Linked DNA regions of Schizosaccharomyces pombe. Changing the gene in region 3 together with the main gene of any one other region gives a genetic interaction. Each region holds a gene or a part of one and is shown on either strand. Other genes may lie near its edges. The genes, in order: gef2, zfs1, cdc7 and hsp90.

Region 1 (6,485 bases), on a different chromosome or scaffold from region 3:
AAAACTGCCCCTACTGTTAATTTTACTCTTCAGCCTTTTCCTGGAAGTGGTTTACCGCTTATTGTAAATGAAAACACTCGTTTAAGTGCTAGTGCTATGCTTCGTGCTCAGAAAATTATGGATTATAGCTATAGCAAGCTTAGCCAACAAAGAAAGGATGTATCATCCCTTCAATTTAGATGCAAAGATGTCGTCGTTACCCCCAAAATGACATTGGCAACTGTTAAGGCTCGAATTTGGCGATCTGGAGACGACGTTGTCTTTCATTATGATGTTGCTCCTAGATCTGTTTCAGAAATTGTTGATAAAACCCAGAGTCTTAATATTTAAAACTTAAGTTTGATTAAAATTTTAATTGATTTCATAATCCTGTCGAAAATAATGTACAATAAAATCAAGTTTTCAACCTGTATAGTACCGGCCAAATAAGGTTTTACCATGTCCCTCTAGAATTAATGTAAACACCGTCCCTACTGGTTTGTTTTCGCCCATATTTCAATATAAGAGCTTCAACTCTTGATTTCGACAAGGCAAGATCTTTAACGAAACTCCAAAGTTCTTCATATAACCATTTCGACTTAAGTTGAAACAAAGATTGAAACCGCCTACTTGGTTCTCTCGGTAACTGATCTCCTGATAAATACTGAATCGTATTTGGGGTATCGTGAAAATAATAACCCTAAAGAGTTTTAGCATTAGCTGACTAAAATGCCCTACCTTTAATAAATTCAAAGAAGGAAGTCCTTTACAAGGATACGGAAGACGATTATCCCATAACTGAATGAACTCATCGGAGCTTATACTGTTGATGCCTTCTAACAAAAATCGCCCATACCAAAAAGTCGTCAACTCTAAATCGATATTGAATTTTTTAGGTAAGACATTGTCCTTAATGGGTGAAGAGATACTTTCAAGAACACAAATTACTGAATCCCAATCAAATTCGTCATCCATAGCTGGCTTTTTTAAAATCTTAAACTCAAAACTTGCAAAGTCTATGTGTAACTGTTGGGCTATAACAAATATCCAGTCAATAATTGAACATATGTAAGAAGGTGATAATCGGTACAAGAATTCATTCTTTACCATGAAAAAGTTTTTCTGCAAGAATGAATCGACTTCATTTCTGCTAGCAGGAACAGATCGTATAAATTGATCTTTTGTAAGTGAAATGGGCTTCTGTTGAGACTGTTAGTGAAAGGCTAACTATTCAATAAAATGCATACCAATTCCACAGAATCTTCGTCCCAATAAGAAATTTTGTCGTCTGAAAAAATAAACCCATAAATCCGTTCAACTTCTAAAAATGAATAACATGTGTCATTTAATACCCAGTCGGTAGGACTGAGCTCATCAAAAAGCAAATACGAGTTTGATTGAACCACTTGACGCACAGCATACGTTTTATCTGAAGTACAGAGTACTGAAGCCTTTTTATCAAAATCTGATTTAAAGACAATCCTATTATCGATGTTAGATCATAAGTTGTCAAATAGCGATATAAAAAATAAAAAAGTAATGATTCAACTTCAGGTTATTTATACACAAGGAAACACATACTCTTCTTCAGGATTTTCTTCCAGAGTCTTTAATAAATCGTCGTCTAGTTCCAACAATAAATATTCAGAAGAAATATCAGAGCTTGGATGAGGGTATTTTAATAAAATGCATCTTTCTTCATTCGCTTCCATTTAATGTCTCTTTTTTTGTCTATTAAGTAATTCCCGATCTCAATAAATGACAGATTTGACTTTGGGTTGCTATTTTACTTTATTGTTAGAAAACAAGAAAATGATCACTAAAAGATTAAATTAATAATATGGTAAAAGACTAGCAGCTGTAGCGGATTTTCGCTGCAGAAAATTACCATATGTCCTATCGGTGAATGGAGAAATGGAGTAAAACTACCTAATTCAAACAACCACATCGGAGAAGCAGGTTCGGAAGCTTCAAGTGAGATTAGGATATAGTCCCTGAATTGGGTCTATTCCTTTTTCTTTTGTAGCTGTATAACTGGAAGTACTTTCACTAATAAACATTGAATTGAGATTTCTTATAATCATTAATAATTTTTGAGTTGCATAAAAACAATTTCTATCAAGTTCCGTTCTATCGATCTTTTGTAAAAAGTCTTGAAGGTTTAATTTATTTAATAATTCTTTTTCTTGGGAACCATTGCTTCTTTGCTTAAAACTTTTCTTCAGCTTTGCTTGACTGGTCAATATACTATTTGTTTTACTGTTTAAGGGATTTTGCTACCTCTATTTCTTTTCTTTCTACAAGTTTTACAGGTTATCAAGCCATCACATTTAACTGCGGTTGTTGAAAAAAAGCTTACTTGTTTACGTATATTTGGCGAAGTTAAGTTTCATATTTTTGTCTACGCGATTGACCTTTATCTTACTTTTTTCATTTATTTTTACCATGGACGTCGGCACGATGGGTTCGCGTGCTGAACTGTTAGCAATTAGCATTCAATTTGGAGGTCTATGGGTTTTTAGGGATCTGTTACAAATGAATCCTTTGTTTGAGCAAGATCATGTATTTTGTACCTTCAATCATCCAAATATGGGTTTGGTATTGATTTCATTTGCCAAAGTTGATGGTCATATTTTAGCAGCTTATGCTTTATCGAAATTGGGACCTGACACGTTTTCTATATGTTACCCTTTCTCTTCGAAGTTGGATGCTTTTGCGCAAACTTTGGACCTAGAATGGCAAATTGCTAGTATGCATAAGGAAGCTGCTGCATGCGTATATGAGTTTCTTTGCGTGGAATCTGTATGTTTACATACAGGCGAAAATTGGCGAGAGTCAGTCATTGAACCTGAGTATGCTTCCTATATTTTTGATACAATAAACGTTTTCCAGTCATCTTCTCTCACTCGTGAGCTTTATTCTCTTGGCGAGCCGAATGGTGTACGCGAATTCGTGGTAGATGCTATTTTTGACATAAAGGTTGATAACTCTTGGTGGGAAGACCCTTCTAACTCTTATTGGAAAACCGTTATAGGAAGTAGGGAAATGTTTGAGGATTCACGAAAAAAGACTTCAAGTCCGAGTCCGAGTTTTGCGTCTAGTAAAGATGCCGGAACCATACCTGCAATTCAAAAAAAAAAGAGTTTACTCATTGAGATGATGGAAACAGAGAGCACATATGTTGAGAGACTACGCCATTTAGTTAATGATTATGCACTCCCTTTACGGGATTTGGCCAAGTCTTCGAAAAAATTGCTGGGACTTTATGAATTAAACACCCTATTTCCGCCTTGTCTTAACAAATTAATTCAGCTCAATTCTGCTTTTCTTGACGAGTTTGAGGCAATCATGAGTGATTTAAATTTTGAAGATATAGACGAAAAAAAGTTTGAAGAAATTGATCTTCGATTAGCTTGTTGTTTTGAATCTCATTTTTTCGCTTTTTCACAACATTATCCTCGTTACCTTGAGCAAAGTAATGATTTTGGTAATGTTTTAAAGATGGCTTCAAAAATACCCAAATTTGTTGAATTCCATGACCAGGTAAAGCTTAACGCAAACATGAATGTGGGTTTGAGTCAGCTTATTATGGAACCAGTTCAAAGGATTCCACGATATTCACTATTTTTAGATCAGATTATATTATTGACACAAGAAGGAGAATGTCAACATACATACGTGCGCTCAGTTGAGATTATAAAAAATATTGCAGAAATGCCTACAGTTGATGCCGAAGAACGATCAAGGATTTTTGCTGGCTTACAACATATAATTCCTGACTTAGCACCAAACATGATATCTAACTCTCGAAATTTCATAGATTGTATTGACGTGACTAGGGAGTTTCTAAAAAACGGGCAACTGCATTTAATACCTTATACTCTAATTTTATTCAATGATCGAATTTGTCTTGTTCAAAGACGCTCCAAATCAAGTATTGCCTCAACTATATTGGATCTTCGTAAGCAAAATCCTCGCAATTCTTATTCCAAAGAAAAGCGTGCTCAATATATCGGTTCAAATATGAATGAAGCGGTTGAGTTGACAAGAAGTATGGTTGAGGAGAATACTATTTTTTTAATTTCCAAGTATGCATCTTCTCCTTCATTTTTTAATGAGTATCCTATTTTGAAGTTTCGTTGCGATTTTGAAAATGTAAGAACTATGGATAGGTTTTATCAGTCTTTTCAAAAAGCACTTTCAATGAACAAAAGCCAGCCTTCCTGCCTTAGTTTTTCAAAACTCAATGACTTTGTGGTTTTTTTTAATAACTATTCACGATTTGAGTATGAGAAAGAATCAAAACGCTCAGACATAGTATGCATATGCACCAATGATGCCAACGTTGATAAGCATAAATTTTTGCAAGACGGTAATATTGTCATTACTTTTTTTCAACAAGACGAAGATTTTCATTTAAGTTTCGATTCCTGGTTAGGTGTCAGTTTGCCTACTGAAGCTGTTATAGCTAAGGAAGACCTTAGGGAGGCTTGTCTTAATTATCTTATTAATATAAAAAGGCTTCTCCTATGCCCTTTTTCAAATAGAAATTTCTCAAGCTTGGATCTATACTCAAACCTTATACAGCATTTGCTTTCTGCTAATTCCAGCCCACGAAAAAGTAGGTTATCATTTGGAGGAAGGCCCGGAAGCCCTTCTAAAATCAGTTTATCATTGAACAGGTTTTATAATCAAGGCGGTTTATCAAAATCTTGTGCTACACTTCCTTCGCAAATGTACAATTTGGACCATAATAATATTTCACAAAAATCATTGAAGTTTAATACTCATAATACTTCGAAGGCTTCTGCTGAGAAAACTGTCGAACATCTTGAAGCTTTCAAAGGCGGATTTAAATATCATACAGGTAATATTGCAATTTGGATCATAACGTTAACTGAGCAGATTTAAAGAATTTACTATATCCACTGTCTGAAAAGGAGAAGATTGAGGGGGATGAGCTGTACGATAATATTTTGAAGGAAACTTTTAATGAAGAATTACTCTCTCATTACCCACCAAATATTATTTATGCGACCTTTCAAAAATATTTGAGCTCCTTTATCAATCGAAAATTTGGAGTTTTGCTTTCTTCTTCATTCATACAACAGTTAAATACTGTTGAAAATTTAAGTATGTATCGCTATCAAATTTGATTTTTTTTAACTAACATTGAAGATCTATCTTTCAATTCAACTGATGCAGTTTATCATTTGAAAAAAATCTTACAAGACTTACCCGAGAGTAGCCTAAAGATCCTTGAGAACATTTTTTCTATTGCTTCCGAGTAAGTCACCAAGCTTGTTTTTCAGAGGTTTTATTATCTAACGTCGTAGTTTGCTTTTGAGACTTCCTCTTAAAGATCAATGTGATTTTGTTACGAAACAACTAGCAATTGCCTTGGCTCCTTCCATGTTTGGAAGTAATGCTGTAGAACTTGTTTATTACCTTGCATACCACAGTGATCGCATTTTTGGAACAGTAGAGGAATTGCCGACTCCGGTTTCCCCTGCGAATTCCAATAATGATAAACAGTTAGATGAATCGAAATTCCAAGCAATTGCCATGAAAGAAATGCCGGAAAGACACCCTAAGGAAATTTTACCTGGTCAAATAGAACGAGAGGCATACGAGGATTTACGACGCAAATATCATCTGACTCTTGCAAGGTTGGCTCAAATGACTCGATTAAATGAAGATTCTAAAAAGTCTATCCCTCTGTTGTATGATCGCTTCAACCATGATCTTAAGCTTATAAAGCAATCAGTTCAAGCCAGTTTAATTAGAAAACAATGTGAACTAGATACCGCAAAGTGGACTCTTGAAGAGTATGAATCCAAGCTAAACGCTAAGGAAGGTTGTCAAACCAACATATTTATATAGCCAACTAGTCTATACTACATCGATTATTAGATTATTTGTTTTACTATTCCTTTTTTAGATATCAATAGTTATTTTTTTTATCCTTCAATATGTAAGTGAAAGTTAATAATACTCATCAAAAAGTTTTCTCTTATTTTTATAAATAGTATAGAATTGGAATATGCTACACCGTTTAAAATCTTCAGTTATGAAAACTAAGCATATAGTTTAGAACATATGAGAGTCATTGACATTCCATTGGAAATACTATAATTTTAAATATGCCGGAATGGTGTACTCAAGTAGAAATTGACGTTATGAAGGGAATGAGAAAGAAAGGTCTAAGTATAAAAGAAACTTGAAAAAAGCCTTTTTTAAAACGGCATAAGAATTCATAAGATAATGATTTAGCGTAGATAAAAAGAAAGCAAGCCTATATTGAGACGGAATAAGGCTCATGATGGAACTTAGTTTGCTTCAAATTGTTTACAAAAACCATGAGCTAATTACAAGGAGATTAAAGGGTAACGACGAAAGCTATAAAAAACAGCTATACACTTAAAGTGTTTTCCCAATGAATTGAGTAAGGCAATATTAAGATTGCCGCTGGGTCTCTTGGTACTTATTGAGCACTTCATTTATTT
Region 2 (7,017 bases), 260 kb from region 3:
AGTACACCTGTCCTGAAATTTTTTTAAATGCCGTTTCTGATAAACTGGTTAATACCGCAGTTTTATTTATTAATATTGAGCTGCTTTCTGAGTTTTATTACCAATTTCCACGTGAACTGGATCAGCGTCTCATCCATTCTTTGAGTTCTGAACAGTTGAATGCATTTGTCAATGAAAATCCTCGTCTCAAGTCACAGCTACAGTTGCAGCATAAGCGGCAATGTTTGGAATTGGCTCTGCAGAAGATCAATTCATTAGTTATCTTGGAACAGCAAGCCGATAGCGATTAAATAACGAGTAAAGTAGTCCGAGTTTAATGAATTTTTTTAACTAACTTTCCAAAAATGCTTGTATGTGTTACTATGTATAGCCTGGTAGTTTTCTCGTGAATAAAATTGTTTGTAAGCAGTACAGAATTGCGTTACAAATTTTTGATGCATATTGCAAATCTATGTTTATGAAAAGTGCACAACATTCAAATAACTACTTAAATTTTTGCAGTAACGTTACTGTTATTCAAATAATACATAGGCTTCGCTCATCAAATCTCCCTGATTGCATAAATCATTTTCGTAATAAGATTGGGTATTTTAAGAAACTCCCTTGATTCGAATTATAACAGTATATTACAGATACCACACAAATCTAATAAAACCCCGATTCATGCGTATCGCATTGCTAGACGAAGTAAACAAGATTCGAATTTAATACTATAAATATATATTGTCCAATCTTCTCATAACTCTTTAAATCGCCATTCTGCAAAAAGCTAAAGGTACATGATTTGCAAAAATAAAAACAGTACCCTGACATATGACAGAGTAACTAACTCATGATCTTCTTTAATTTTTTTCTCTTATAAATTCTATCTTGACCAATAAGGTCATCAAATAAATAAAGAATAAAGTGTGAACATGACTGGCAAACTCAAACCTTGCGATAAAACCATAAATAAAAACAAGGTAAAGGCGATTGCAAAAGAAAAGCTCACATAATGTTACAGAAGAACAATATAAATAATAACCGTATAAGAAAACCAAGGAGGATAGGAAAGTAAGCGTCATAATAAATTAATCTCACCCAGATTGCATAACAACAAAGAACAAAAGTCATCTTATACAAGCTGATGTGATATCAAGGAGATTGCTTAATAGTTGCACTTTTTTGAGCATTGGATTCATCATGCAAAAAGCAGCATCGCAATCCGTAAGGACAATAACCATACATCATGAAAGATCGGCAACGCTCGCTTTTGTATTTTGGGTGACGAGGAGGTTCTTTCAGTTCCTGGTTGCCATGCGCAAATTGACATTTAGAGCCATAACGGCAAGTTCCACTAATTTGCCAATTCTTGCAAGGCTCGGTCTTATATAATGCGCGCTTGCCGTTGGGAGCTACCCCATTACTACTGCCAGAACCATGAGGATGGCTAGCTGAACCCTTAGCTTGGCGAAAATCTCCTGCAGCTGATGGTTGAGGAACGAAAGGTTTGGAAGCCTCAGTAAGAGGACTATTACCCGAAGGTGAAAATTGCTTTGATAAATTGGAAGGAGCATTGCGAATTGAGGCATTCGATGCTGTAGGCTTGATGGGAATAACCCCCGCTGAATGCGATTGTCTAACTAACGACGGTTTAGCAACAGAGTTGCGGATGTTTGTCATTGATTTCGATTGAACGCACAGCTTAGGTTTTCTAGACATGGTAGATTCCGGTTGACCATGAACAAAAGGAAACGAAGTTTGAGAGTTCTCATCGACGGATACAGGGACGCCAGCCATGTTCAAAGACATGGCCAGTGATTTGGAATCATCGTGGAGATTGGCAAGGCCGGAAAAATCAAGACTACCACTACCAGTGCTACTACGAGAAGGAAGACTCTCCAAGGATGATATAGGTGAAGGATGATTGCTTGTGTTTCCATGAGGAGAACTACCAGAATGTAAATAGCTAGTAGCGTTGGAAGAAAGTAATGAAGGTGTCCATGCGTATCCCTGTGGGTTAGAAGAAGAATTGTGATGCCATGGCCAACCGTCCATTTCAGGAGAAACAGATAAACTTGAATCCAATGGACGAAGCTGGGGCATGACTGAAGAAGGGAAAACTTCATCAGAGGCGAGAAGACTAGATGTCTTTAAACTGCCCAAATTTGTAGATGGCTTGTGAAGTAAAGATGAGGAGTTGGCGTAGGAGTCAAGGAATGATGGACTTATTAAACTGGGTCCTGCATTAACAGACGTAGTAGACTGAGATAGTTTTGAGTTGACAAGGGGATCACTCTTATAATTGTAGGGGGGCCATTGGCGAAAAGCCAGAGGTACTTGAGGTCGAGACATAGGAGAATAAACCATGGTTAAAAGAATAAAAAACAGACACGCAATAAATTAATGAAGTTCACTAGAAAAAAGTGATACAATAGAAGATTAGTTATAAACGAACAAAGAAGTTGTAAAATGAATCAAAAAAAGGTTGCGCAGAATAACTTAAAAAATTCCAGTAAAAAACTTGTGTTAAATAGAATTATGGAATCAGGAACTTGAAAAAAACGTCAACCTTCAAAATAGAATTACAGGGTAATCACCGAAAGTAATATGCAGAAAAACGAGAGAAACGTAGAGTTAAAAAGAAAACACGCAAATTTAAGATGAAAATCAATAGTATAGAGACGCTGTTTTTTCAGAAGTCGAACAGAAAAGATACAAGAAAACGGAGAGAAACCACACAATGATATAAGGAAAGATTTTGAGAAGGAAGTAAAAGTATAGAAGACAAAAGTTTAATAGATGGATGTATTGTGTTTGTGACCCAAAGCAATCCTTTTCAAAAAACAGTCGTCAAACAAAGAAAAAATCCGAGTTGAATGCAAATTTTAGGGAATAAAATTTAAACCAAAAGAACAAAAACGCCTTTTTTTTCTCTGAAGTAAGTGAATACAACAGATGAACATAAAACACAAATCTCAAAACACAACAAAATGAGACTAATCGTAAATCCTTAATGTATAAAAAAACCTAATAAGGGAACGCTTTTAATATACGAAGCACAAAAAAAAGGGAATTTGCGGATATAAAGGGAAAACGTTAAAGTTAGTGCCAATGTGCAAGGTGAGCATCAAACAGGAGTTTTATCACTGATATAGGATAAAAGCGAGATTTGAAATGAAAAAAGAGTGAGAATTGATGAGGAGAGTAATCAGTAGAAAGAAATAAGAAATTGAAACAGAAAAAAAAATTTCAAAATCGAAAGATGGGGTGTTTTTTCAGCAAAAGATAATATCTTGTCCAAAGAAATATAGGGATTATCAACCAAACCGACTATTGCTGCAAAGATACAAAAGTGGGATGGAGAAAAGAACAGAGCCCAATTTAAAGTATTTTAAATAATTTCTCTTTTAGAGTACTTTAAAAACGTCGAAAGAAATGGCGAATCAAAAGAATAAATCAATATCAGATAAGGATTGCCACAAAAAGCTTTAAGGGGATATGCGAAAGTTTCAACAAATAAAACGCAAATATACTAAGATGTTAATATATCTGTTACGTTAAACAGTAATTGAGAGCGTTTAGGAGCTCTTTTGCTTCGATATCAGAAAAGAGAAATAAAATTGAAAAGAGAATGGTTTTCCAACAAAGAAAAAAACCCAGAGCTTGACTCAGAATGAAGAAGAGAAAACAAATCTAACAGAGACAAGAAAACCGGTTGAAAGGAATAGACTAAAACAAACAGCTACGAAAACAACTTTCAATCCGAGATAAATGTTTTGTCAACGTAAAACGGAATTTTTTCACACTGCAGAAAAAAAGTATTCAACGGAAAGAACAAACGGTATCTCAGGCAAGAAATTGAGAAATTGAGAAAAAGGATGAGATGCCGATATTCAAACAGTGATGAATTTGAAAAAAACAGACACACACACGGACACACAAAGAAAGATTCAGCAAAGTCAAAAGGCTTTCAACTATTCTGGAGGAAAGTGTTGTGGTGGTAAGTCGGTAAGTTAGAGGTCGATGGTAATAGAAGTTGGTTGAACGATTACGTTGTTGTTTCGTCCTGTCCTGTCTGGTCCCTGACCTGTTATGTTGATGCAGAGAAGAAGAAAAAGGGCGGCTAAAAGCAAATAACACAAACTAAGAATAACGAAATTCGCAACAGCTCGTAAAAGTGTCCGAAAAAGAAAAGACGGAAAATTCCGGTATATATAGAAAAGGATTAATCGGTGGAAAAAAAATGAAGGATTGATGGCTAGATGGAATACACAGTGCGTGTGTACGTTTTAAAAAAAACCCAAAAAAAATTGCAAAAGGAGAAAAGGGAAAGCTAAATTGTAAACGGGTAAGAAGGAAAGCAATATAGCACGCGATTGACAACCGTTCCAACAAGAAAAATTTTTCCAAAGAGAAAAAGCCGCGCACTAATCGTAATCGAGTTAGCCGTAGGAAATAAAAATAAATAAATCCCAAATAAGTAGGTGCTTGGTAATATAGAAAAGTGGTTCCCTCTAATGATGAAATAGTGCAATCAAGGAAGGAAACGTAGATATTAAAATGGAACAAACTTGCACGTGTTTTTGAAGGAAAGGAAGAATTCTAGTAATGTCAAGTCACTTAGCTTTGCTGTTGATACAACACAAGCCGATTAGCAAAATATTGTAGAAGAGAAGCAGAAAGTCGTGATAAGAGAAAAAGAGAAAATCGACAGAATAAAAGAAAATTGTCAAAAACCACAATTGTATACGATTAATCAATTTACAGCACGTAGCAGGTCCGGTCGAAAAGGAGGAGCAAGGCTAGGAAGCCAGCAGTTTCAATGTCGTGTCGGGCAAGAAGGAAGGAAAAGTGAGTAAAGTAAAGTAAAAGAGAGCACGACAATAGTGTAGTACACAGTATCCAAATATGCTAGGACGATAACAATAGTGTTTCGATACGCAACGACCCCGGTACAGAAATTGAGGTTATTTCAAGGTTACACGCAATCAATATATATATGGGACAACAAAAGAGATGAAATTTTTTTTTGTTTAAAACACAAAGAAACCAATTATCAATGTGTTAAGATTAGTTAATTGTGTTCGAGCATCAATGCCACTTTATACTACGTAAAGTCAACGACCTAGAAGATGTCGAAAGAGCAAGTTGATGGACTCAACAAGCCCTGTGCTTACAAGTTGTTTAAAAGTGGGGAATGTCGGTAAAATCAGTGGTATGTGCAAAAGACACTCAGTGCGGATGTTGTGGCGCAGTACACTACAGTGTTGAAATGGAAAGATGGCAAACGTGAGCAAGGACAGATGGAGGAGCTTTCAAAAAAAGAAAAATTTACAAAGTAAATTAGAAAGTCATAAAACAACTCCGAGAATAAAATTATCGGTAGAATTACAATAGGGAAAGGGGAAGCATTGCATAGAATGGCGGTGTATTGGTTCGAAAAGTGCGTGCTCTAAAGGAATGCGATTTAAAAAAAGTAGTACAGTATTAGTTGTTTTAGGTAAAGACGAGGGAATTGGAATAAATTTTTTTGATGCAGGCTATTTTTTAATTTATGAGCAGTTCTATATTCTATATGAAACAAAATGTATTGGTATTTTATTTTATTTTATTTTATTTTATTTTATTTTATTTTATTTTTACACATATTATCAAAAAGAATAGTTTTTCGTTTTTGAACAAATTTTTTTCTAATTTCCTTGGTGTAGATGCATGCATGGCAATAGCATGTTTGTTATCCCTTCTACACGCAATCTACTGTGGGCACAATCCCCAGTGTTTGTTTGGTAATTGTTCTTCCATTCATTGGAGAGTATTGGCGATAAATTGTAGCTGATTGGGATAATGAACGGAAGACACGTACTTACCATTGCTCAAAAGGCCCAGAAAGTTTACCTCCACACTGGGGCGTGTTCAAATCTACATTGTAAAGTAAGATAGCGGGATGGTCTTTGAGCACGATAGGATCCGGAAGCATGCATACGAAGCTGGAGTTCTCGACTGGACAGCTCATTTTTACTACAGACAAATGTGGTCATACGGAGGACTAATAAAAATTACGGAAGGCGTTGTTATGCATCGGCAATGCTTTTGCTTAGAGTAGCAGCGGGAGATGGAGATGGCAAAACGAGTTGCAAGAACCATCCATCAAAAAGACATAAACAAACGTAAAAAAGACAAGAGTAAGGATATCTAAATAAAAGTTGAAAAATGGAATAAATGAATAAAGTACAAATGAAATTGATGAATAATTTGAAATATAAAAGCTATTATTGACAGTATCTGAGTGATGATTGAATTTTGGCAAACACGACGGAGAATACGAATTACGGCATGATACAAAAGATAGTCTACCTAATTTTGGGTTTCAAAACTATTTTTGTTTAAAAAAAATTTTTATTAAATTATTTATTGATATTTTCTTTATTTTTTTTATTTTTTTTTATTTTGGCAAAGGGAGAACGAGGAGGGGTTAAGGGGTCGGTCAGGTGTTCAGCTAGGAGGAATTGCGCTATGTAAAAGAACAAAGGGAAGTTGATCTTGCTAGTAAAACAATATTAAAATATCAAATTATAATAACAATGATAATACTACTCAAATCGAGAAAACGGCCGATTCGCTTTCTTTAGCATGTTGCTTGGGTTACAGTGGGTCGAGGAAAAGCAAAGAATTGAAAGTACCCCATCCATCATACATACCCCTTTATTCTCGGTAAAATGATTTAACAGAAAACAGAAAAACAGAGATTTCTAGACCTAAGTGTCTTCATTTTAAACATATAGGCGTTGCTAGTGAAGCAAATCCATCGTATCATGATGAATTCATCAAAACCGGCAATCACAAATTGTCATTGTACGAAACACGTAAAACTGGTAAATTCATGCCACATGCGTATCGACCGAATGAACTGACTGATGATGGTGAAAACGTACACTCAATTCATATACGGAAGTTTAGTCAATAATGTGTTGTGTAACGGAATAATCTGTTATTTATTATACTGTAAGCTACGCAGTTTGGTATCTGATTTAAGGA
Region 3 (6,692 bases):
AGACATTTTGTATCATCATTAAATCCCATACCACCAAAGAATATTAATTTGTTATTCCATAAATCCCCTGAATGGAAATACCGTGGTATCGGCTTTTGATTTCCTTGATATTCAACTTGCTTCCAGGAACAAGTGTTAAGATCAACTACATACATATCATTAACAAGCTGCGCATTTAATGCATCGCGTCCTCCATATACAAAAGCCTCGTCTCCATATTTTATAACTGACTCCCCAATCAGCGGTTTTGGGACATTATTTGAAGATAAACTAAATGTAGAAGTAAAAATGTTTGTTGAATTTCTCAAAGATATATTCCTTTTTACTTCTGACATAGATATAAACTGTTTAGCAACTCGACGTTAATAAGAAATATCAAAAAAGTGATTTTTCCTTCCACATAAAAATTAATAATTACTGAAATGCAAACAGTCAAAAAAGATTTATGCAATAAACAAAGCAGCAAATTAATAGCCAAAAATGAGAAGCATAAAAATCATTGTTGTCCTTTTGTTTTAGTGCATATTTCTTCCTGTATTGCACTATCGTAGCGTTAACTGATATAGTGAAGTTAACTTTTATGCACACCTAGATTTTAAAATTCGAAGCACTTGAATGAATAAATATAAATATACACTGTGATAAGCATATTATAAACCTTTCTCTTAACGTTTCTAAGATTCATCAATATAGATTCGGTAAATAAATAGTCTTCATTGCGGTACTCAATTAGATTGTATTTCAGGTATAAACACAACTGGTAACGTACTTACACATGGAATGATAATATATTAATATTAAAATTAGCAAAACTTTCGTTTAAAAAATATTGATTCCATAATCCCAACCTTATTTATTAATCATTAAGCCATAAATACAGAAATATCATAAACAAGTAATATAGTCGTGCACTGGGAAATGCGTTTAATAGTGTTCACTGCGTTAATGGCTGCTTTGGTTGCCATCTAGGTGGAGGCATATGCGGTTTCGAAATGGGGGATTTGTGCTCATTGATGGGACCCTGTGGTACCTTCAGGTATTTCAGCAGGTCTTTTGCTAGTTCTTTAACAAGCACAGAATCACTTGTTTGGTTCAAATTTGCAACCACATCTGGTAAACCACAATGCGCAATATAAGCAACACTTTGGCTACTAGCTTCACACATTGATTTCATAATTTGAAATATGTTTAGGACCACAATCGGCTTGGTCCCCTTATGAGTTAACTTTTCTTTAAATTTCTGGAATATTATAGGCTGGCCATAAGAGGCTGCCAATCTTGGGGAAATTTGACAAACCCTGCCCAAAGTATCTAGCATTCTGTTTGAGGAAGCTGATTGAGAAATACAGAACACCTTTAACACTAATTGTACGTTTCTCTTCTCTGCCAAAACACGTTGTACTTCACGGAGTTCAAACTGCAACCAAGATGCGATCGTATCAAATACCGCAGATTGCCAATTAAGATCTGATAATAACGAGAGAAAAAAATCTAAGCATTTATTTTGCCAAAGATAAATTCTCGACACTGGACCAGCCTGTGGCAAAGCTAATAATATCGGCAGCGCAAACTCCTTAAACAGTCTGTCTTTAATAATCACCTCTTGCAATAATGGAATAGCACCAGAAATAACAGCCTCTTCTTGCGATTTCTTATCTAGCTTACACACATTGAATAAAGCGGCCAAAGCTTCGCTTCTAATTTCTTTTCGTCCTTTCTCAATTTTGCTGTCACCGAGAATATGTGTCAAAAGAGGTATTATATGAACTTTCCTAAGAAGCGACAAAGATGAAGGAACCATTGAAAGTTGCTTGAAAAACTGTAAGGTAATCGCCATATCAGAATGCGGCAGATAAAGCAGAATACGCAATATCCTTCGAAGAGCACTTTCGCAAAGAAGTGATTCCTTAACATAATTATCAGCCTGAGATAAAGCCAATAAAATTTCACATATACGTGTTAATGACATTCTTGAAGAATCATCGTCAGTAGCCAAAGCTTTCAGCATGGCTTTGGTCAAGGGCTCTAGTGAATCATTTACAACCATCGTACAGATATCATTTTTTGGAATGTAATCCTGTTGTCTCAGTAATTTCCATATTCCTTCTACGCCAACAAAAACAAAGTCACGGTTCGTTCCATAGTCCTCTTTAATAAATAATAAAAGCGAATTCAGACCATTTGAGCTCAAAAACATTTGTAATGTCAAAGCAGAAGTTCTATACATCTGTTGAATAAAGATAGCACTTTCATATCTAAACTCAAAAGAGTGTTCACGATTAGAGAATGACAACATAAGCGGTAAACCTCCAGCAAAGCAAACTTTTTGTAAAGTTGTGTGATCATCGAATGCAACCTAACGTTAGTAAAATCACGCATTAAATATCCTTACAGTGTTAATGAGCTTTAATAACAGCAATTGAACATCAGGCGTTTTTATTTCGCGCAATGTCTCTAAAAGTGGAAGGATACCATGCGCTTGTATTATCTCTCGTTTTAGAGAAAGATCTTCACTAAGTATAGAAGCCTATTGTCAGTTAAATTATCAATATAAAAATATGCACTTACTATTTGCGAAACAGTTGTATCCTTCGATCCGATATTCTTGTCACGTAGTGAGCCTAACAGACTGGAAAGTAAGGAAGCTAGATGCGTTCTCTTATCTAAAGCAATGTTGTTTTCAATATCCAAGTTTTCTAAGTTTGTTTCAATAGAGTCAAAGATATCCGATTCTTCCCCATCCTCATTTTCTTCATTATTCCACGAGCCATAACATTTGTTTAAAACCAAAGTCCCCAGTCCAGTCTCCTTTCTCAATCCTTGAACTTTGATTGAGGATGTAGGGAAAATATCAGTAAATTCACTATCTCTGGGTGTCTCGACAAATTTTTCAATTCCGTCTGGTATATTCTCTTTAAACTCTAGATAATTAGTTATATGTTAGTATCAGATACTTACCAGTTGACAAGTATCTTTTATGTTGCGGAGTTTTTTGATGATCTATTGACCGGTTGAGAGCGGGCTAAAAAAAAGGTTAATTATTTATTTAAAATCATTAAAAGCTCTAGAAAATCGAGCTGCATTATTTACCTTAGAGGGATCAAATTGGGCTTTGAGAGGAGTACTCAACGGTGATGCATTAAAGTTGTTTGATTCAGAGATTTGATCTGAATTAAAAGCATGGCGAGACTTCGAAGGGGATGATGTTATGGAGCTGGAATTATTTTTTCCTTTAAAGTTACTGCAAAAATCCATAAAATGCTCAGATTTCTTTAAAACATCGTCACTGATTTTAAGGGTTCCTTGAAATTCATTGTCCCAGTTATCATGATCTAAAAATGTTAGAGTAGTTAAAAAGTATCATAAAGCTACCTGGGGACTCGGCAATTGGTGTTTTTGGAGACTCAGGCATGTGATAAGAAGACTGCCTGCCAGAATGAAGAGTCGGATTGATTCTGTTGGAAGTAGGCTCGATAATAGCTGTCAAAGTGCTTTCTTTCACTCTTTCATTATATTTTTGAACCTCGTCTATAGCGTCAGAAAATTTAGAGGAGGTTTGGTTCATTATCACCCAAGGATGTTTAAGAAGTTTTCTGGTCTTAATTCGTAAATTTGGGTCCTTTTGGAAACATTGCATTAAAAAACTTTTAGCAGCCGAAGAAATATTTGAAGGCAAGGGAGGATGTTCATCTTTCACCATCCGAAAAAGAGCGGACGTAGGATCTAAATCATAATAGGGAGGATTTCCATCTAACAGTTCAATAACTGTGCAGCCAACACTCCAAATATCTGAGGCTGTTGTGGCGCCTACAAGCTCTATAACCTCGGGAGCCACTATATAAATTGTTAGTAATGTTATAACTATACGCTTAGAAAAGGCTTACTCCAATAGGGGCTTCCAACAACACTATGATCCTCTAAAGCATTAATTTTCGTCGCAACCCCGAAATCTGCTAACTTGATAGTGCCATCTTTAGTAGTAAGTATATTGGCACCCTTAATATCACGATGGATAACACCCTGATTATGTAGATAAAGTAGCCCTTGTAATACTTGAAACGTATATAAGGCCACTAGGTTTTCTGGAATCTTTCCAAAGTTTTTACAAATTGAGCGCAACGATCCGTTTTCGCAATATCTATATATCGTTAACTTGAAAACAATTTTTTAAAGAAAATCACGTACTCCAGAATAATGCATAGAGAATCGTTCGTCTGATAAGATCCCCTATATTTAACAATATTTGGATGCTACCACGTTTAGTATTTGGCGACCATTATAAACGAATGAGTAACATACGTCCAAATTTTTAAGCAAATCAATCTCCATCTAAAAATTGTTAGAGAAAAATAGTTGAGATCCCTTCATACCTTAATGACGGAAAGATCAGATTTTAGCATTTTGGATAGTTTAACTTTTTTTACAGCCACCGTTTCTCCATTCTTTATATTTAGACCACGGTATACTGCACCGAAGGCACCCTTGCCCAAGCAATCCCCAAGAGTCTGAATATGTTATTGAAAATCCAATGGCTATTAACATTAAATACTAGCATACGATGGAAGATGCTTGGATATTGTGCATGACTATTGAATAAGTTACAAATTAAAAATTGAATTTATTTGTAATTTTGAATGAAAAGACAATTTGGTTTTGTTTACGATGTAGCATTTGCTGCGTTTGAAGAAGTAAGGACTTTATAGTGTACATACACATTTAGTACGGTACCTGAACTTGCATGTTATAAACTCAAAAGAAGTAAATAGTAATAATTAAGCTATTTATAAAATCATTAATAAACAAAGATTCTCGTATAAAAGAAAAAGCGTATTATACAGACATATAAAAAATATTGGCAAGGATGGAACTAATCCGTTGGTTAAGTAATGTCAGTGGAAACACCATGTACATAGGAAGAATGAGTTCATTTTAGCTTGGAAAGTAAAGTAGAAAAGACAGTGATTTAAACTACGTTAAACAAGTGTCTGATGGTTATGAATCCGAGGAATCAAACTTTTCCTTGTAATGGGTTTAGAAGCATCAAAATCAACTTCCTGTAAACTCTTATTTTCATGATCGGTAGAGAAGTTACTGCAACAATCCAGTTTCCGTACCCATGCAGTACCTAAAATACTATCCAACGACGGCCGATTCTGGGAATCAGGATTCAGTAAACTTAGTATAATCTTCTTAGCACCTTCAGGTATATATCTGAGGGGCTGCAATGTAGGTATTTGTTTAATGACTTCGGTTTGGAAACTGGATTCATCAGTTGAAGAAATACCACAAGTATCTGTAAGGATTGACATATACTTTGAGTAGTAAAGATCAGTTTTCACGGAAGTTTTAAATGGAAAGTATCCAGTAAACAGAACTTTAAGCAAAATACCACATGACCACCTATCTGCTAAAAGACCACAATATTCTATCAATTGAACTATTAGTACGTCGTTTTTGAAATAGGATAGAGCTCGTCTTGCTACACAATTTATACACATAAGACTTACCATTTTCATGAAATGCTTCTGGTGCTAGATATGCCAAACTTCCAACAGCACCCGATACGAAACGAATGGATTCGTTATCACCAGGATTACCCACAATTTCGCTGGTACCAAAATCGGTGAGCTTTAACAATCCATCCCTTCCGATTAAGATGTTTTCCGGCTTTAAATCTCGGTGCGCAATACGTTGAGATTGCAAGTAAGCTACTGCTTGAAGAATTTGCTTTAGATAACAACATTTGTCTTCTAAGGTCAAAACTTTTTCTTCAATTTGCTTAAATAAATCGCCTTGAGGACAGTACTCTTGAACCAAACAAAACCCAGCGGATTTATTAAATACGCTTGTCAAAGTCACACAAGGGCAGATAACTTTCAGAATATTAGGATGGTCCAATTTTGGTTGGATTGACCATTCCCTTAAAAAATAAACCATTGTATTCAATCTTTTTTTATGCGATGTTTTCGTTTTCCGATATACTTTGGCAGCATAGTATATCTTTGCGTCGGTGATTTTATCTCTGTGAGTTACAACCTTGATTGTAGAGGTGGCCCCTTTAGCTATTGATTTTAGATGCTGAAAGTCTAAGCGAAATCTTATTTCGGGTAATATACGCTTCAGTGAAGGATCTAATCCAATTGCGAAGTCAGACATTCCAATAAACGAAGGTTGAATTGAATGAACGGAAAGTAAGCTAGTATTACTGTCTAAGTATTCATTTTCTAACCATGGTGCAGTAATTGTACTTGGCTTTATAACGACGGAAGACTTCTTGGTTGTTGATTTAGAAACATTTATTGAAAAAAATTGGAAGAACTCTTTAGGAAATCTCCCAAAAATATTTTCAATCGAAAGACTATTCTTATTCTCTGAATTCCTTTGAATTGCTGAATTGTCCACGAAAATTGTCCCCTGGCGAAAAAAAGGATAATTAGTCATTAGTGACAAGCCGCTGAAGCTAAGAAGCCTAGTTACGACTTCAAATTGATTGATTTTTTATGTACTTCTTCTTTATTTTCTTACTAAAAAAAGAGTGTTTTCAGAACAACCTCATCATTTATTCTGTTTAGATAAAGAGTTACGTGTTAGCAACCTCAAAATTGCATAGTTGTAATCATAACGTCTTTGAAAGAAACGAAATTTCCAAAATCATATGCTCACGAATGCCTAAATCGATGAACGACCGTTTA
Region 4 (4,880 bases), on a different chromosome or scaffold from region 3:
GCTCGTACACCAGTCATGGTGTATTCTATTACGAGAAATTCGTTGATGCTATTGCTGGGTCAAAAGATAGCAATTGAGTTAAGAGCAGCCAGATATGTTTCACATTCTTCCCTCTAATACTTTATCTTTTTAACCTGAGCCATTTCCCTTAGACGAATTTTCCTCTTCTCTTTTAACTTTTTATGAAAGCATTTGATACATTTATGTTCGTTGTGACCTATACTTTATGTGTCTCAATACTTAGCTACTCTCTGCGACTTTACTATTATTTGCAGTGTTTAGTGAGTTAGAGCTTAGGCTTAATGTCATTAACCATATTTTCATTCGAGGGTTCAATTAATGTATGAATAAATCTATATTAGCCCAGCATACCTATGTTCCTCATCAAAATTATCCTACCTTGTAAAACAGCTCTCACATGACTAGAAAAAAATAACTTTTAAGCACCAACTTGTACTTGTTAGTAGTATAAACTACATTATTCGAAAACAAAATTTGATGTACTAATAAGTATCCATAAACTTTAATATTACTAATCAACATTCCATATTATAACAACTTCCAAACAACCTGTAATCTAGTGTGTATTAAGAAAAATCGTGTAGAAAGAAATTTTTGAATGACAACAGACACTAGAATCGTTAACAATGTATAGGATAACTTGCTTTAATCCAAGAAAAACATTATATGCATAAATTTTGGAAAGACACATTAGATGCATTTGATTTAATCGACTTCCTCCATCTTGCTCTCAGCATTGTTTTCAGCAGCGACGGATTCGGTAGAAATTTCCTCAATAGGAGCCTCCTCCTCTTCGTCAATGCTAAGACCAAGAGAAATAAGACGGTTGATACGTTGAGCATAAGCACTAGGGTCATCAAGAGTGAAACCAGAGGACAACAAGGCGGTCTCATACAAAATAGTAGCAAGATCCTTCACAGAGCGGTCTTCGGCACCATTCTCCTCAACCTTCTTCTTGAGCTCAGCAATGATGGGAGACTTGGGGTTAATCTCAAAAGTCTTGCGGCTAGACATATAGGCACTCATAGAAGTATCACGAAGGGCTTGAGCCTTCATGATACGTTCCATGTTAGCAGACCAACCATATTGACCGGTAGTTAACAAGCAAGGAGAACCAACAATCTTGTTAGAAACAACAACCTTTTCAACCTTGTCACCCAAAATGGTCTTAAGTTGCTTAGCAAACTCCTCATACTCTTTTTCGAGCTTCTCGCGAGCAGCCTTCTCCTCGTCAGTCTCTTCCAACTCAAGACCATCCTTAGTAATGTTAACCAATTTCTTGCCCTCGAATTCCTTGAGTTGAGTGACAGCGTACTCATCAATGGGGTCAACCATGAAGAGAACATCAAACTTCTTGGCACGGAAGATTTCCAAGAAGGGAGAGTTCTCAACGGCTTGCTTAGATTCACCAGTGATGAAATAAATGTTCTTTTGATGTTCGGGCATCTTAGTGATGTAGTCCTCAAGACTGATAAGATCATCAGGGGAGTTAAGGGAGTTGTAACGCAAAAGCTTGGCTAAAGCAGGGCGGTTAGCAGCATCCTCATGGATACCAAGCTTCAAATTCTTGCTGAAAGCATCGTAGAAAGTCTTGAAGTTCTCCTTGTCCTCGGCAATCTCGTTGAACATATCAAGACAACGACGGACAAGGTTCTTACGAATAACCTTCATGATCTTGTTTTGTTGAAGCATCTCACGAGACAAGTTCAAGGGCAAGTCCTCAGAATCAACAACACCCTTAATGAAACCCAACCATTCAGGAATCAACTCTTCACAGTCGTCGGTAATGAAAACACGGCGAACATAGAGCTTGATGTTGTTCTTCTTACGCTTGGCCTCAAAAAGGTCCATAGGAGCGCGGCGGGGGACGAAAAGAATGGCACGGAATTCCAATTGACCTTCAACGCTGAAGTGCTTGACGGCCAAATGGTCTTCCCAGTCGTTAGTCAAAGACTTGTAGAAAGAGGCATACTCTTCCTTGGTAACTTCACTGGGGTTGCGAGTCCAAATGGGCTTGGTCTTGTTCAACTCCTCAGTCTCAGTGGTGGTCTCCTTGACCTTCTTGGTCTTCTTCTCCTTCTTCTCAGATTCATCATCAACCTCCTCAATCTTAGGAGCCTTATCGTCTTCTTCATTCTTAACTTCTTCGGTCTCTTCTTCTTCAGGGACCTCCTTCTCAACCTCACGGGTAACAACTAATTGAATGGGGTAAGAGATGAACTCACTATGTTTCTTGACGGTATCTTTGATAGTCTTTTCCTCGAGGTATTGAAGTTGGTCTTCTTTCATGAAGAGACGAATCTCGGTACCACGTAACAAGCGAGGTCCATCGGTGTCCAAAGTGACGGTGAAGCTACCACCAGCAGAGGATTCCCAGATGTATTGCTCATCGTCATTATGCTTACTTACGACTTGGACCTTGTCGGCAACCAAGTATGCAGAGTAGAAACCAACACCGAATTGACCAATCATGGAGATATCAGCACCAGAAGCAGCAGCTTCCATAAACTGCTTAGTACCAGACTTGGCGATAACACCAAGGTTGTTGATAAGGTCATTCTTGGTCATACCAATACCGGTATCGCGAATGCTAAGGATTTTGTTCTCCTTGTCAGGAGTAATGCGAATGAAAAGATCCTTCTCAGCGTCTAAGGCATGAGGATCGGAAAGGCTTTGATAACGAATTTTGTCCAAGGCATCGGAAGCGTTGGAAATAAGCTCACGAAGGAAAATTTCCTTGTTAGAATAAACAGTGTTGATGATTAAAGACATCAACTGGCTGATTTCAGCCTCAAACTTGAAAGTTTCTGTGTTCGACATTTTGTAATGAAATCAAATTGAAAACGAAAACAAAGAAAAATGAAGGAATTTATAGATAAAACCGGTTAAGTCGTACAGTTCGTAATATAAAGGGTAAAATAAGTAATTAAATATACTTTTATTACTTGAAAAGGGGTTTTCTTCTCAGCTATAACGTGATTTTAAATATGTTCAAACGTATGAACAATCTTTTAAGCGTTCAACAAAGGAACTTAGTGGGAAATGGGTTATAAATAACTTGAGAGCTAGATGGCGGAGGGTACGTGTATGGTGGTTTATATTCTGTAAACAAAGCAACTCGAACATTCCAAAACCCTAACCCTGGTTTTTGGTGGAAGGACATGGAACTCAAAGAATAGTGCGGATGCAACGAAGTGTGGTATTTGGATTGCGATAGAAGGTTGGGGTGAGAAAAAAAATTTCTCACTAAAGTGTATCTAGAAGATGCTAGAGGGAAGATAGTGTATTGCGTAAAATTACGAACAACCAATATTCGGAAACATCCTTACACTGTGATAAGCTCATAAGGTTTTACTGTAGCGAAAGGTTTTTTCGTTAAGCATCGTTGAAGGGTGATAAAATCGGCATCTCGCTAACGTTCACTGTTCATAACCGACCGTTTTTAGGTTAGCTAAACGAGATCGATCATTTAAAGTGTTTAACTGTATCTTATCTAGATGATGGGAACTTCATAAATTCCAAGTGAGTGATATTTCTTCAAATTTCTTTTGCACGCAATTAGAATACATATTAAAAATAATGTTCCGAAAAAGAGGCCTACAGCACCCCGGATTCCCATGTTGTCTCCAACCATAGTACTAACGAGGCCCTCAGACGCTTAACTGCAGTGATCGGACGGGAACTGGTGTTTTCGCCTAGGTATGGCCGTAGACATTTGTTACATAAATTTATAGAATATATAATAAAGAACAGAATATGTAATATTTCTCAAAATCGAACAGAATTTAGCAAATACCATTTCATAAACTTGTACTGTATTTGTTTACATCGTTAAACACCCAATCCTTCGCATTTGCATAAAACTTACTTGACAAGACGAAACGCATCCGATACTACTTCGGTATGTGCGTCGCTTGCATAAATTTCGCTACAGCCATGTCACCTATCGAATACAAATTATTATTGAAACATTCCAGCAGTTTTTACAGTACTCAAATTTTAGTAAAAAGGCTATTAATAATATCTCAGCAATAAATTCTTTGTATATAAATAAATCAAAAGTGATTCTCCGCCATAAATTTTCAAAGGTAATTAACCGTTCATTTAAGGACTCTTTTGAAACTTCCAAATTATTTACAGCTGCAATTAGTCTATATTATTATACAATCCTTAGCAAGAGAGACTAGCCTTGCCTTCTCTCAACAAATACTTGGCCTCCCTTTAAAAGATATCATGAGTCGGATTCCGCGATTTCATAATCTACTTGTATAGTTAGAGAGCAACCCATGCATGGGACGACACTTCTGTTATTTTCCAGGTCGTCTTCCGTGACAACATATCCTCCTAAATCGCCGCATCGGCAAGGATAATAATAGGAGCCGTTGTCGAGTTCTTCAAATTCACTTAGATCAACGATAGAGTAGTAATGCGAGCTTTCTGTTTAGATTAATAAAAAAACCTTCAAAACAAAATTACCCTCTTCTTGTTTTATTTGATATTGCTGACGATCTTTTTCACTTGAAAGGACTTGATATGCTTCTTTCACTTGATCAATAGTATACACCACAGAGGGCTTTTCTTTACACTTATCCGGGTGAAACAGTAGTAACGCTTTTCTATAAGCTTCTTTTATTTCATCGTCTGTGTAAGTTTTTCCATCTTTGAGGTTTAGAACCGAATAGTGGTTCATGAGGATACAGCACACTTATGTCGTTCTGCTGGTATATGCATATACATAGTTAGGGTGCCCAATTGATTTGTCATTACTTTGATGTAGGAGAGCAATGATGAAACAATATGTGCTCAAATGTTTAATTAAAGCTACATCTTTAAAAATTTTTAAAGAATTATTGAGGTTA

Evidence for each region.
Region 1: of cdc7 (region 3) and gef2, a mutation in one rescues a mutant of the other (synthetic rescue), as found in Schizosaccharomyces pombe (one study listed by BioGRID).
Region 2: of cdc7 (region 3) and zfs1, a mutation in one rescues a mutant of the other (synthetic rescue), as found in Schizosaccharomyces pombe (one study listed by BioGRID).
Region 4: mutations in cdc7 (region 3) and hsp90 impair growth when combined (synthetic growth defect), as found in Schizosaccharomyces pombe (one study listed by BioGRID).

The regions. Positions count from the first base shown.
Region 1 is NC_003424.3:418,042-424,526, forward strand, and holds gef2 (RhoGEF Gef2), read left to right. Parts: upstream 1-1,900; 5' UTR 1,901-2,424; coding exon 2,425-4,846; exon of another isoform or gene 4,847-4,884; coding exon 4,885-5,112; intron 5,113-5,157; coding exon 5,158-5,266; exon of another isoform or gene 5,267-5,315; coding exon 5,316-5,862; 3' UTR 5,863-5,950; downstream 5,951-6,485. Other genes in the region: bun107 (WD repeat-containing protein), read left to right, coding at 1-330; Ctf18 RFC-like complex subunit Dcc1, read right to left, coding at 434-679, 718-1,179, 1,227-1,461, 1,561-1,691; pre9 (proteasome core particle subunit alpha 3), read right to left, coding at 6,436-6,485. UniProt on the Schizosaccharomyces pombe protein: Has a role in the control of cell polarity and cytokinesis. Involved in bipolar growth and septum formation.
Region 2 is NC_003423.3:3,482,320-3,489,336, forward strand, and holds zfs1 (zinc finger protein), read right to left. Parts: upstream 5,128-7,017; 5' UTR 2,350-5,127; coding exon 1,135-2,349; 3' UTR 529-1,134; downstream 1-528. Other genes in the region: dynamin family GTPase Msp1, read left to right, coding at 1-290. UniProt on the Schizosaccharomyces pombe protein: Binds to specific AU-rich elements (ARE) in the 3'-untranslated region of target mRNAs and promotes their degradation. Binds to ARE present in the arz1 mRNA and stimulates the rate of arz1 mRNA decay.
Region 3 is NC_003423.3:3,221,847-3,228,538, forward strand, and holds cdc7 (serine/threonine protein kinase SIN pathway Cdc7), read right to left. Parts: upstream 4,660-6,692; 5' UTR 4,585-4,659; coding exon 4,558-4,584; exon of another isoform or gene 4,506-4,557; coding exon 4,371-4,505; exon of another isoform or gene 4,330-4,370; coding exon 4,300-4,329; exon of another isoform or gene 4,251-4,299; coding exon 4,186-4,250; exon of another isoform or gene 4,139-4,185; coding exon 3,885-4,138; intron 3,835-3,884; coding exon 3,373-3,834; intron 3,333-3,372; coding exon 3,091-3,332; intron 3,023-3,090; coding exon 2,959-3,022; intron 2,922-2,958; coding exon 2,569-2,921; intron 2,528-2,568; coding exon 2,393-2,527; intron 2,357-2,392; coding exon 935-2,356; 3' UTR 505-934; downstream 1-504. Other genes in the region: Ras1-Scd pathway protein Ral2, read right to left, coding at 1-335; serine/threonine protein kinase Ppk24, read right to left, coding at 4,974-5,425, 5,508-6,441. UniProt on the Schizosaccharomyces pombe protein: Protein kinase essential for cell division. Plays a key role in initiation of septum formation and cytokinesis.
Region 4 is NC_003424.3:3,888,048-3,892,927, forward strand, and holds hsp90 (Hsp90 chaperone), read right to left. Parts: upstream 3,093-4,880; 5' UTR 2,842-3,092; coding exon 727-2,841; 3' UTR 511-726; downstream 1-510. Other genes in the region: myosin II regulatory light chain Rlc1, read left to right, coding at 1-77; diphthamide biosynthesis protein Dph4, read right to left, coding at 4,253-4,458, 4,498-4,711. UniProt on the Schizosaccharomyces pombe protein: Molecular chaperone that promotes the maturation, structural maintenance and proper regulation of specific target proteins involved for instance in cell cycle control and signal transduction. Undergoes a functional cycle that is linked to its ATPase activity.